Oryza sativa Japonica Group: one gene and its partners. Each later gene encodes a partner of the first gene's protein in a complex. Links are inferred from orthologs where the notes say so. Each region holds a gene or a part of one and is shown on either strand. Other genes may lie near its edges.

The links.
Region 2: mediator of RNA polymerase II transcription subunit 13 (region 1) and mediator of RNA polymerase II transcription subunit 28 share a complex: the UniProt entries of both Arabidopsis thaliana proteins name them as parts of the mediator complex. The link is inferred for Oryza sativa Japonica Group from reciprocal best matches to the Arabidopsis thaliana genes GCT and AT3G52860.
Region 3: mediator of RNA polymerase II transcription subunit 13 (region 1) and mediator of RNA polymerase II transcription subunit 18 share a complex: the UniProt entries of both Arabidopsis thaliana proteins name them as parts of the mediator complex. The link is inferred for Oryza sativa Japonica Group from reciprocal best matches to the Arabidopsis thaliana genes GCT and AT2G22370.

What each region holds. Positions count from the first base shown.
Region 1 is NC_089039.1:22,057,515-22,061,039, forward strand, and holds part of mediator of RNA polymerase II transcription subunit 13, read right to left. Parts: coding exon 2,994-3,525; intron 2,900-2,993; coding exon 2,638-2,899; intron 2,548-2,637; coding exon 2,463-2,547; intron 2,375-2,462; coding exon 2,287-2,374; intron 2,049-2,286; coding exon 1,970-2,048; intron 1,041-1,969; coding exon 745-1,040; intron 192-744; coding exon 1-191. UniProt on the Arabidopsis thaliana protein: Component of the Mediator complex, a coactivator involved in the regulated transcription of nearly all RNA polymerase II-dependent genes.
Region 2 is NC_089039.1:3,232,177-3,236,148, reverse strand, and holds mediator of RNA polymerase II transcription subunit 28, read left to right. Parts: upstream 1-1,208; 5' UTR 1,209-1,280; coding exon 1,281-1,473; intron 1,474-1,871; coding exon 1,872-1,984; intron 1,985-2,843; coding exon 2,844-2,978; 3' UTR 2,979-3,335; downstream 3,336-3,972. Other genes in the region: U1 small nuclear ribonucleoprotein A, read right to left, coding at 3,721-3,972. UniProt on the Arabidopsis thaliana protein: Component of the Mediator complex, a coactivator involved in the regulated transcription of nearly all RNA polymerase II-dependent genes.
Region 3 is NC_089036.1:5,238,145-5,242,262, reverse strand, and holds mediator of RNA polymerase II transcription subunit 18, read right to left. Parts: upstream 2,903-4,118; 5' UTR 2,710-2,902; intron 2,629-2,709; 5' UTR 2,599-2,628; coding exon 2,563-2,598; intron 1,399-2,562; coding exon 1,299-1,398; intron 1,228-1,298; coding exon 1,170-1,227; intron 1,092-1,169; coding exon 735-1,091; intron 643-734; coding exon 531-642; 3' UTR 343-530; downstream 1-342. Other genes in the region: brefeldin A-inhibited guanine nucleotide-exchange protein 1, read left to right, coding at 3,183-4,118. UniProt on the Arabidopsis thaliana protein: Component of the Mediator complex, a coactivator involved in the regulated transcription of nearly all RNA polymerase II-dependent genes.

The DNA of each region.
Region 1 (3,525 bases):
ATCACAACATTAGATGCTGATGATTCATCAACAGAAGCATTGCAGTTTAGGGCTTTGGCAACCTGAGAATATAGGAATGATTTCCTTTCTCTCTCTGGGGATAACATTACCGACCCAAGAGCAACAGAACATTCTACCAGTGTCTCTAGGACAGCAGAAGGTTCGGGAAATGGACAGACTACATAAATTACCTGCATGGATAATAAGTGTTATCATATTGCTACTGTTGGCCTGTTTTCCAGCACAATTTACAAAGAACAAACAATTTGTGTTAAAATAATGTGTTCTATATAATGGTGTGTTGAAACAGTGTTTTCCAGCACAATTTGAAAAGAACAAAGAATGAAAATAGTACAAGTACAATGTCTAGAAAATAGCCTAGAAGAACAAATTATATACGAAATAAAGGTGGTACTAAATTGTTATATTACAATTGAATAACTACATGTCAAACAGTTATCTATGCTTTTCATTTGAAAATTCTTCTGTACAGTTTTAATGTTGGGGCTTTCTACGTATCCCCTACTGTTCTCATGAAAAAAATTGAAGGAAAGGAAGCAAGTGAATCTTCTGAAATTCAATGCTTAGGGCAGATGGACTAAAGAGAAAACAAATAAGAATAAACAGTGAGGTTATCTGTGCAAAGTGCAAAGACATTACAGGAGAGAGATGCTGCTTTTGTTTTGTTAAATTATTTCAATCGAACAGATGTGAAAGGGACAAAATGCAAAAAAAAGGCCTTACAGTGCAAGGTCCACTAGTGCTTTCTTTCTGATTTGCCAAGATGCTTGAATTTAGTTTTATGTCCTTTATCACCCTTGTCAGAGATGTCACAAAGCTTTTCACAGTCCAGTTTCTTGAAAGAGCTTGAAGATATTCGCTTGTTGAACTGATGGAACTTGAGTGGCCGTTTCCAATCTTCACTTGATCAGGACACTCGGTGAGAACGAGCCCTGAAGACAAATATTTTCCAGGGGATAGTTCCATTTGCCCTCCACTGTTTTGTGGAGAGTGAGTTCCCAGTTTGCAAACTTCATAAACTGTAGGAAAGAACAATCAATAAGTGCAATAAACAATAACGAAAACACTTCCAGCACAATGGATTGATTACAAGATTAACAAAATATGGCAAGCAACTTCAGTACCAAAAGATCATGGTAACATTAAACCTATATACTGTCACCAACAATGACTAGATTAAAATGTTCAAAGTCACAGACATGATTTTGATGTCAAATATGTCATCTTAGAAGCACAGAAAAGATCAACTGTAAAAATGTCATGTTAAATTTACGTATCATCTAAGCTTATGGTTAATTAGCAATTTTGTCTCTTAATTTCATATGAAGCACCCAGGATATTATTTGGCACTCGGTAGTCAATATTGAGGAAGAAATATACTGTTCTTCGGTCAAAGAAAATATTGAGGGAGAAATGGTAAATTAGAAACAGTTAACAGCATTACAGCAGTTAGCATTACTGCCGAAAGGTGTCAATTTGGTTAGCTTCTCCCTCCGTTCTTCATCTGTTATCACAGAATACGTACCATCCCATTAGTTGAATATGTTGAATGGTAATTCAACCTAAAGTGTTGAGTTTTCATTCCCTAACCAAGCAATGTCAGACTGCCTCCCACCATTATTACTATGACAAGCTCAATCACATTTGGACTGTGTGTCACACTTGTTCAAGAGCTTCACGAAATTGGGAATCCCATTTGCCAAAATTAGCTGGTTTTCTTTCGTTCTTCTTTTGGTTTGTAAATATACAAGTATATTCTAAGCATTCGGCACAACCAAATGTGTAACTATATTATATCAAACTGTCCAAAATAAATAGATTTTCATTTTTCAGAAGCCAGTGGAAACTGCAATTAGCTGACCATGGTCCGTAATCCTGAATGTGTGTTCCAATAACAGTTGTACATTCATAGGTGGTAACAAAAGCAAGAGGAAGAGGAAGAACTTACTTGTTCCAAGCTGCAGGAAAAAATCAGTGGCCGCAGAAGTAAGCATTTCAATATCAGGGCACAGAGCATAATAAGTAACCTAAAAGAGCACACACATAAGAGATATATAAGTCGATAATGATTAATTAATTAAATATAATGAAACCTTTATCGATTCTAGCAACATTTCGCTGTTATGGCTACAAAAACTATATGGATTATAGTTACTATGCACTGATGTAAAGTAATTATGGATGAGAGGCGATACTTTAAACAATTAATAGATCCAAAAGTATCAAACTTATGGATTATAAGCCACAAAATCCAATAATACTTACAGGCTTTGGTGAAGCATAAGGTTCCAGAGGAGCCTTCTCCCACAAGCTAAGACAATTAGCAGAGGTCTTTAACCAATCATCCTGGTAACTGCGGTTACAATACTTGAATCAGTAACTCACACAGACAATATGTTTAGTTAAGGCCAACAATAATCCAGGGAAAGAAATTAGGCTACCCGACAAGCAGAGAAGGCAAAGGGAGGACAGCAACGGTTGGTCTAACACGGTGATATCCCCTATGGTGCTCCAGCTCCGAAGTGCCTGCATAGACATTTGATCTCTCGGATGAATCATAATTTCTTGCTTGCTCTGAAATATTACTTTTGTGAAAGAAGTATCAAGTGGGAATACCTCGGTCATTAGATATAACATGACTTGATTGGGGTGGGCTCATTGAATCTCCACCTATGGATATACTGCTTGAGGACTCCCGGATATCACCAGTTGGGTGCTGAAAAGAGTATGCATCTCCCATAGATGCATACTCAGCTGCATTACTTCGACCCCTGCACCAATCAGTCACTAATAATGGACCGTCCATGTTGGCAAAGGCAGTTTTAAGAGCCGCTTTTATATCAGACTGTAACAAGCTAATCACAGATGAGTCTGAAACCTGTATCCAAAAGAAGAGATTGGGCATAAACTTTGGCATTAGGAGAAAATGTGAACGATATAATGATAGGAACATGAACAGAACCATGTTTTACCTCTGCAGAAAGTGGGTCAACTAAATCAACACCAGCACAATCCTTTGAATGGCACGTTCCTAATATTCCGCCGCAGCCAGCATGAACCATTGAAGGATCACAAGAGAATCCACGTCTCTTTTGTTCATCCAAGGAAAGCCAGAAAAAAGAGCCATCTCCATCATCCATATCAAGTGCGATATCAACAAACGAAGTAGATTGTTGAACTATCAGAGCCATGGCGCTGAGAAGATCCACAATAGGCTGTCTTTTTACAGGCAGACCTTGGCTTGTACCAGTATACGTTTTAGCAGAAAAAGACTCTAGATGTGTTGGCCCTTTAGGTGTCCCCACAGGCTTCCAAACTCCAACATTTTCTAATGATCTGTCATATACTTCATGATCAACATCAATAGATAGCCTAGCTGGTATATTTTCTTTCCTTTTTATGTCATATTTGGGGACAAGATCTAACTTGTTGCTGACATCTGTATGCACAAGACTGGATAATGCACTTTTTAGCTCAGCAGATGCTTTGCTACTCAAAGACAAT
Region 2 (3,972 bases), about 19 Mb from region 1:
TTTAAGGGGCAACTTACAAAATTTACAATGAGGGTAGGTATGATGACATATTCACTATATGACATATCTCCGTTTTTTTTTTTGAAGAAGTATAGATTAGACCAATTGACTAGCCGACTGGGTACATCGGTCGTACTCCCCAAAATGGCACCAACCTAACCTAATGCTATATTAGATTCTGCTATAACTTATAATCAACTAAGGAGTATATTACATCAATAAAAGAAATATCTACCGATAACATTAAGTTAATTGTGACTATCACTGATCGATTAATTAGATGTATTTATGACAACCGCATGCATACGTGTCGAGCAGCAAAGAAGTGTGTTCACTTTTATGCTACAGTAAAAAAATCAGAAAGTCACGAAGTCAAGCAATATATGTTGCCATATTTGATGTTTAACACAAGATTAAATACACAAACATAAAGATAAATGGGACTTAAACAATATGCATAGGAAAAAAAATATTAGCATTTCATGTTTCTTTTTTCTAAAATACAACGGAAATTCACTGACTCCATATGTTCATATTGTAATCTAAGTTTATCTTTCAGTTAAACTTCTCTAACACCGGTTGGCTTTATAAAAAAAAATACAAAATCTGTAACACCAAATTAGTTTAATTAGATTCATCATGAAATATGTCTTTATTGCATTTATTTATTATTTTATATATTGGTGCATTTTATTCAAACTCAGACAATTAACTTAGAAAAAAATATTTATAGACCTAGAATTTTTCCCAAATAGAATTCCAGATTTATTTTCCAAATAGAAATATCATAAATATCATTATATATATATATATATATATGTATATATATATATATATGTATATATATCTATATATCTAATAAATCAAACTAAGTCTAAATAACTCTAAAACATTTATACATCCTAACAAAGGTATAAATATTTACAGGGTACTTTTAAGCTATGTTCTTCCCCCCATTTTCCCAACCCACCTATCTTGTTTTCCACGTGTACGCTTTTCAAACTGCTAAACGGTGTGATTTATAAAAAAACTTTATATATAGAAGTTGTTTAAAAAAATCATATTAATCTATTTTTTAAAATAAAATTAGATAATACTTAATTAATCATGCAATAAAATAAACTTCGTTTTGCGTGGCAGGAGGAGGGGTTCCCAAGCCCCTCCTCTGAACACAGCCTTAGTAGGTGCGCCAGGCGCACCCATTTTCTAGTAGTTTTTGGAAGAAGGGTTTCATTGCAATTTTGCGATCCCCACCTCTCTCTCTCTCGTCTCTCGCTCTCATGGCCGAGCCGCCGTCGCAGTCGCCGGCGCAGACGCCGCCGCAGGCGGCGCAGCAGCAGCAGCAGGGGCCCGGGGAGAGCGCGCGCGACGACATGATGGCCTGCGTGGCGGCGCTGGAGGCGGCGCTGCTGCCCTGCCTCCCCGCGCGCGAGCTCCAGGCCGTCGACCGCTCCCTCCAATCCTCCCACCAGAGTACGTCGGACTCACTGAGACTGACCCCGCCGCTCCCCCTCTCTCCTCCCTCTGCAGCCTCCCTTCCCCGTCGTTCTTGCGCTTCCCCCGGCCAAGATTTGGCGCGGCTGGTTTGGTTCGACTCGCCCGCCCGCCAGGTGTTCGCTGTTTTGCCTACGAGGTGGGGATTAGGAAGCCCCTCGTGCTCTAGCAAAATGTGGCGAAGTTATTTTTTCTTTTTACTTGCGCTGTTGGTACGCGGGCGTCTCGCGGGTGCTGAGATGAGATTGAGAGGGTGGCATTTGAGCGTTCTACATCTGTGTGCTCAACTGTCGATGTAGAAATTGGATTCTTTTGCTTTGTTGCTGGTTAGCAAAATAGGGATTCTAAGGTGTTGTGGTTGTTATAATGTGGAACAGTTGATGTTGAGAGGCACGCGAGGGATTTCATGGAGGCTGCGAAGAAGCTCCAGTCTTACTTCATCAGCCTGCAGCGCGAGGACCGACCGTCGACAGAAGAAATGCTTCGAAAGGTACATTGCATTGCTTTCGGAACAACTTTGCTTCGAAAGGTACTCCTTGACTTCGAAATGATTAGCAAATTAGAACTTTGTGATTAGCAAATTAGCCTGTAGGTAGAACTAGGACCTTGTTTGGGGGAGCTTAAGATTTTGAGAAGCAATTGGTTGGTAGTCAGTTTATGAGAATATGAAGAAGCTGGAAAGTTAGGTTTCTTGTTTCTAGTTTATTTTCTGTATTCTTTAACTACATCTTCTCAGAATCTAGATGAAAAGCTGAACTGTTTGAGTGAGCTTTTAATTTTAGGAAAAGCTGCAGCTGCCAAAAGCTCCCTCAAACATGCCCTAGGTTGGGTAAGCACAGAGTAACGATTTGACACCAGAGTACACAGACATGGGAGGCTGAGAGCTTGGGGATGGCGAGGGAAAAGGTCTAAAAAATATTCAATTTTCAAAGATAAGGGCTTGAGTTTGTCTCTTTTACAGTCTTGAATTGACTGGGCCAGCTCTAAATCAGTCCCGTATTGTTAGCACTAATTCTCTGAGATGTCTAATTGAAGTTTTTTTTCTGTGTTAGTACTCGTTGTGCTCAACATTTTAGAGTGCTTGAGATCCAATGGTTTTTAATATTTGGCCCATCAATAAGTTTAAAGCTATCTAGATTGGTTGTATAAAATCCATTTGACCCTCTCTTTGAAATCAATTATATTGATGTTATATTGCAACCGTTGTAAAAAAAAAATTGTGCATCGATTTTTCTCTATAAGCTTCATGGGAGAAATCAAGAGAAATCCTATATGGCGTGGTCCCCAAGCTGTAATAATCAAATAATAATGTGTCATCATGTTTTAACATGTCCAGTTTCGGTTTGCAGGATATTGCTATAATGGAGGAAGAGCTGAAGACCAAGTCCGAGCTCATCGACAAACATAAGAAGCTCATCGAAGGGTGGCAGAAAGAGCTGAAGGACCAGCTGGGAAAGCATGTTACTGAACTCGAAAGAGTGTGACACCACTGTCTTCCATGAAATGTCCCAGGCTCCTTCCGATGATCAACCTGAGTAGCCCAGTGCTGGGCTATGCCTTGGAGATTTTGAGTACGCCAGCCAGGAAAAAAAAAACACCACAACAATGTTTTAGGATCTGACCAGTTTGCCGAAGACGAACAAATTGCGCTGTATTAATGTTCGTTGCTATGTTCGGTTTATCATAATATTATTGTTCGTAGTTTCTCGTGTGCTCTCCATCTCATCGTGTTAGGCATGCCTAACATGTTAAACTTTTAGATTTTTCGGAGCAACATCTTTTTCCCGATTATAGGAGTGTATGATAACATGTGTGTTCAATGGAATTGTCTAATTGCCTCACTTGTCATTTTAGATGTTTCTTTCAACATATTAATGATTTAATGGTAATTGAATCCCACAGTTGCTGTCAGGTGACCATGGTGACACAACTACACAAGTATGACTATGAGATGGTAAATATTTTAACGAGGCTAACAGCAATAGCATAAATGTAAATCGTCTCAAGCTGCCATATTTTACACAAGGGAACACGAGTGGAACTAACTAGGAGAACTCACGACTGCAAAGATGGTTCAAATTTCATCTCATTCCTGAAACACACACGGGCAGCTGAGCAGTAGTACATTAACATGGTTGTCATGGTGTAGTCTACCTAACAATGAAAATCTATGGATTATGCGAAAACTTGGGACTACAACATTCATCGAGCAAGTCAATAGTACATTTACTTCTTCGCATACGAGATAAGCATCTGGTTATCTTTCGTAATTTTGAACCCCTGAAGATGGTTCATGGCAGCGGTAGCCTGCCCCTCGTCGCCGTACTCCACGAAAGCAATCCCAGGCTTTGCTTCAACCATTCTGACTTCCTTGAACCCTGGGTACTGACAGAAGAGCATCTGAAGCATCATAGGGGTCGTCTCATGTGGGAGGTTTTGGACGAAGAGGATGTTATTCGGTACAATTATCTCCGGCAT
Region 3 (4,118 bases), on another chromosome or scaffold:
CGGCTTTGTTTCGTTTTGCAGCAACTTTTAGGAAGATCAGTTGTCATTGAGATACTTTGTTGACTATGCAAGTAATGCATGCAGTGTATTCTGATTTCTGGTAACTTGACTGCTAGACTTACATAATAACTAGAGAAAATAGTTTGATGCACACTAATTAACTAGAGAAAAACTACTGGGCAATTGAACGTCCCAAACCATGAGATCCTTACCACGTATGTGACCTAAATTAAAGTAAACAAAGCTACCATCAAATATATTGTCAGGATCATGACAAACTCCAGCTATCAGTCTACCACCAATATCGTCAAGCTTTCCCAGCATTCAGTTTCCACTCTTCAGTAAAAGCAAGCAATGATCAGTGTTCATTTACCAGTCTCCAAAGCAAGGTAGGCAGCATTTAGCATGTCATTACAAGAAAAACCATGGTGCTACTGACTAAAAGTTACAGAACTAAAGATGGCAACAATGTTTTAAGTGGGATGGTCAATGGAGATCATCATGGCATTGCAGCCAACACATATGACCGATCACAACGTTTTACCACCACCACCACCACCACTTGACATGAGTGAGGCGGCAGCAGCGCCTGCAGTCGGGACGATTCCAGTCGAATTGCCTGGTTTAGAGAGATGCAGAAGCCTGCAGTGTGTTTTGCAGTCAAAAGTGAGAAAATTCGTTTATGCCAGTCTAGTAATAATCTTGAGATAGCTAAGGAACACTTAGTTACTTACGGTGCTAGATATTCACAGAACGAAGTGACGGCTGAAACGACATCGTTGTAATTGTCAGCAGCAGCAGGGGCCGTGATTTCCACTAGCTGTATTGCAGGAGTGATTGGCACAGCTTCGTTGGTAGCATGGAGTTTTGTCATCTTGCTAACAGAGGTAACGGTCACAGTTATCTGGGCACCTCGGTGGAAACGAAATGCAAATCCTCCCTTCAGAACTTCATGATCTAACTTGTACCCTATACCGTAGAAGTAACGCAATACATTGTTGCTGGCTTTGCTCTCTACAATTGACCGCACAAGGACTGAGATTTGCTCTGCACCAGCACCTCTCATGGCACCTCCAACATGTCTTATGGTCCTACATGAATACTACTGGATTCAGAATATCATCAAATATCACAAAAATGTAAATTTTAGCAGCTGAAAGAAAAGTTACCAGGATGGCGTGGACTGAGCTAAGTCACACAATAAACGAACCTCTGATGGGACAACTCCTGTATGATTGGAAGATGTATATGAGTAACAATGGCATATGATCAGAATAATGAAAAAGTTGCAAACTGACCTAGATTTGGCCCACTTTTAAGACAGAGCTCATGCACTCTGACACGTTCTTTTGGGACACCAGAGAGGCCCTGGAGAAGAACCTCAAGAGCATCAACATGCTGCATAACAAGAAGATCAACCAAAAGTTACACTGATGTCAAAGCAATGAAAACTAAAAAAGGTTAAATGGTGTTCTAAGCACAAGACATTGACATGTGTATATAAATTAATCCCTTTATTGTAAAATTACAAACCATATAAGTGATATGATTCCTCCAATTGTATATAAAATAGAACCATATCAACATATTGAAAAGAGAATCAAAAAAAGTCTGCAAGTGGCAGAAGTAGTGCCCTCAGAGTGGAGAAACATGGTTGACCATATAGTGGTCAGCATGATCAACTGTATACTTTTTTTTTATTATCCTGAAGGGAAGTGTTGATATGCTGACAAGAGGAAGCTATAAGAGACTAACAAAAGGTCATATAGAGACAATGGATCGACGACAAAGTCTTAATGCTGGCATGAATTATTATTCTCTATTCCCTGATGTGTTTCGTTCAAGAAAAAAGAAATTCTCTATGGACATAAAGTTCCAATACTACTTCATGCTATATGGAGTGAAAAAATAACTTTGTTCCTAAGTAGGACTATTGAGATGTAATTTGACATTGGGGCTATGCAGTTGATAGATTTGCTACCTGGGATAGCTTAAGTGTTACCTTTCAAAAGGTTTTATCACAATTACATTTACAGAGGTCTGTTTTCAGGCAATTGACACCTCCAACAACAAAAATGCTATCTTAAATCAAGTGATAGAAAGTTCATTTAGTAAACGTCGAAATTCTACATTCCAACTCCTTTGGATAAGGTTACTACAAAGCGAAAGGCCAAATAACCTTATGCCAAAAATTAAATAAAATTCAGAATTCTAGATACAACATACAAGTAAGGAGCGCAAATGTCAGATCAGCAAACTTGACTAGTACCGATTTCCCAGAAAGGCCTACCATCATACAAAAATCAAGAATCCATGAAGAACATCACATCTACCATCACTCCGGCTTATGTTACGGGCCATGTATGATTTTCCGGGTAAAAGTTCAAATTGGTCATGTTTTACAGCATAAACAGACAAATCAGTTTCATATGAACAAAAATGCATCGTTGCATAGCTACAGATCACTCATTCTCGGAAGAAACTACCGTTCACTTCAACAACCGCTCACACAGTCACCACTCATACAAGTCTACTGGCGAAGTGAGAAAGAAGAACAATAACCTGGGTCTCGATGATCCCCTGCACCACGCACTCCATCAACCCCACCGCTTCTCGCTACCACAATCCCTGCAAGAGAGACAAACCCTGAAACCACGCTGCGGAATTTCGTCGAACAGCTACCTCGCAGCAACAAAAATTCACCCCCACCTTTAACCTAACAGCAATAATCCGCGGCGCGGCGGGGGCTGAGGCGTCGGGAAGTGAGCCGATCCGAGGCGCAAGAGCTCCCCCCACCTCGCAAACCCCGCGTCCCCGAACACTCCCCTCTCCGCCACTGACCGCTCGCCGTCCTCCGCCGCCTCCTCCTCCTGCAGCGATGGAGACGAGAAGAAAGAATTCCGAGAAACCGAGGGGGGTAAAGTGATAAAATGCCTCACCCCCGCGCGAAGGGTCGCGGCGTTTTTGCATCTAGGCCCCTGGAAGAATCTGAAATTTCAGTCATACCCTTCCTCTGACTTCTCCTCTTCCTCTTCCTCCCCCACGCGCTCGTCTCGTCTTCCTCTCGAATTCCCATTTTCTTCCACCTCCTCCTCGTCTCGAGGTCTCAGATCCAATGGCCGCGACGGCGACGGCGACGACCACCGCGTAGAGCGCGTGAGAGTCTGCGTGGACGGCTAACTATGGCCTCGCCGGCGGGGGCAATCGGCGGCGCGTCGCCGTCGGGGCGGGTGCTGGGCCCTGCGCTGGACCGGATCATCAAGAACGCGGCGTGGCGGAAGCACTCGGGCCTCGTGGCGGCCGCCAAGGCGGCGCTCGACCTGCTCTCCTCGTCGGCGTACGCGTCGGCGTCGGCGCCGTCGCCGCCGTCGCTGCTGCTCGGGTTGCCGGCGGCCGCCGCGGACGCGTGCATCCACGCGCTCCTCCTCGCGCTCGAGTCGGCGTCCCCCAAGGTCGCCGACCCGGCGCTCGACTGCGTCGCCAAGTTGCTCTACCACCGCCTCCTCGTCGGTGATCTCGGCGGTGGCGGCGGCGACGACGACTCCCCGTCCTCCAAGCTGCTCGCCGCCGTGCTCTCCTGCGGCGCGCTCGCCGACGACGCCATGGAGCTCTCCACCCTCCGCGTCCTCGTGGCCGCCGCGCGGTGCCCCTCCGTCGCCATCCGCGGGGAAGGGCTCGGCCAGATGCTCAAGACCTGCTACAACATATACCTCAGTAGCAGCAGCGGCGCCAACCAGCTCTGCGCTAAGCTGGCGCTGGCGCAGGTGCTGGTGATCGTGTTCGCGCGCGTGGAGGTGGACTCCATGGATGTGCGCGTGCGCACGGTGTCGATCACCGACATGATGGACATGTCTGACCGCAACCTGAATGACTCCAGCATTGTCCATGCGGCGCAGAGCTTCATAAACGAGACGATGGAGGGAAGCGATGTCCCTGAGCCGGGGTCCCCGGTTGAGCCGGCCGAGACGGATGGGAAGGAGGATGTTGTCATGAGCAAGATCAGGGAGGATGGGTTGACACTGTTCAAGAACCTGTGCAAGCTGTCCATGAAGTTCTCGACGCCGGATAATCCCGAAGATCAGGTCCTGCTGCGCGGGAAGGTGTTGTCTCTTGAGTTG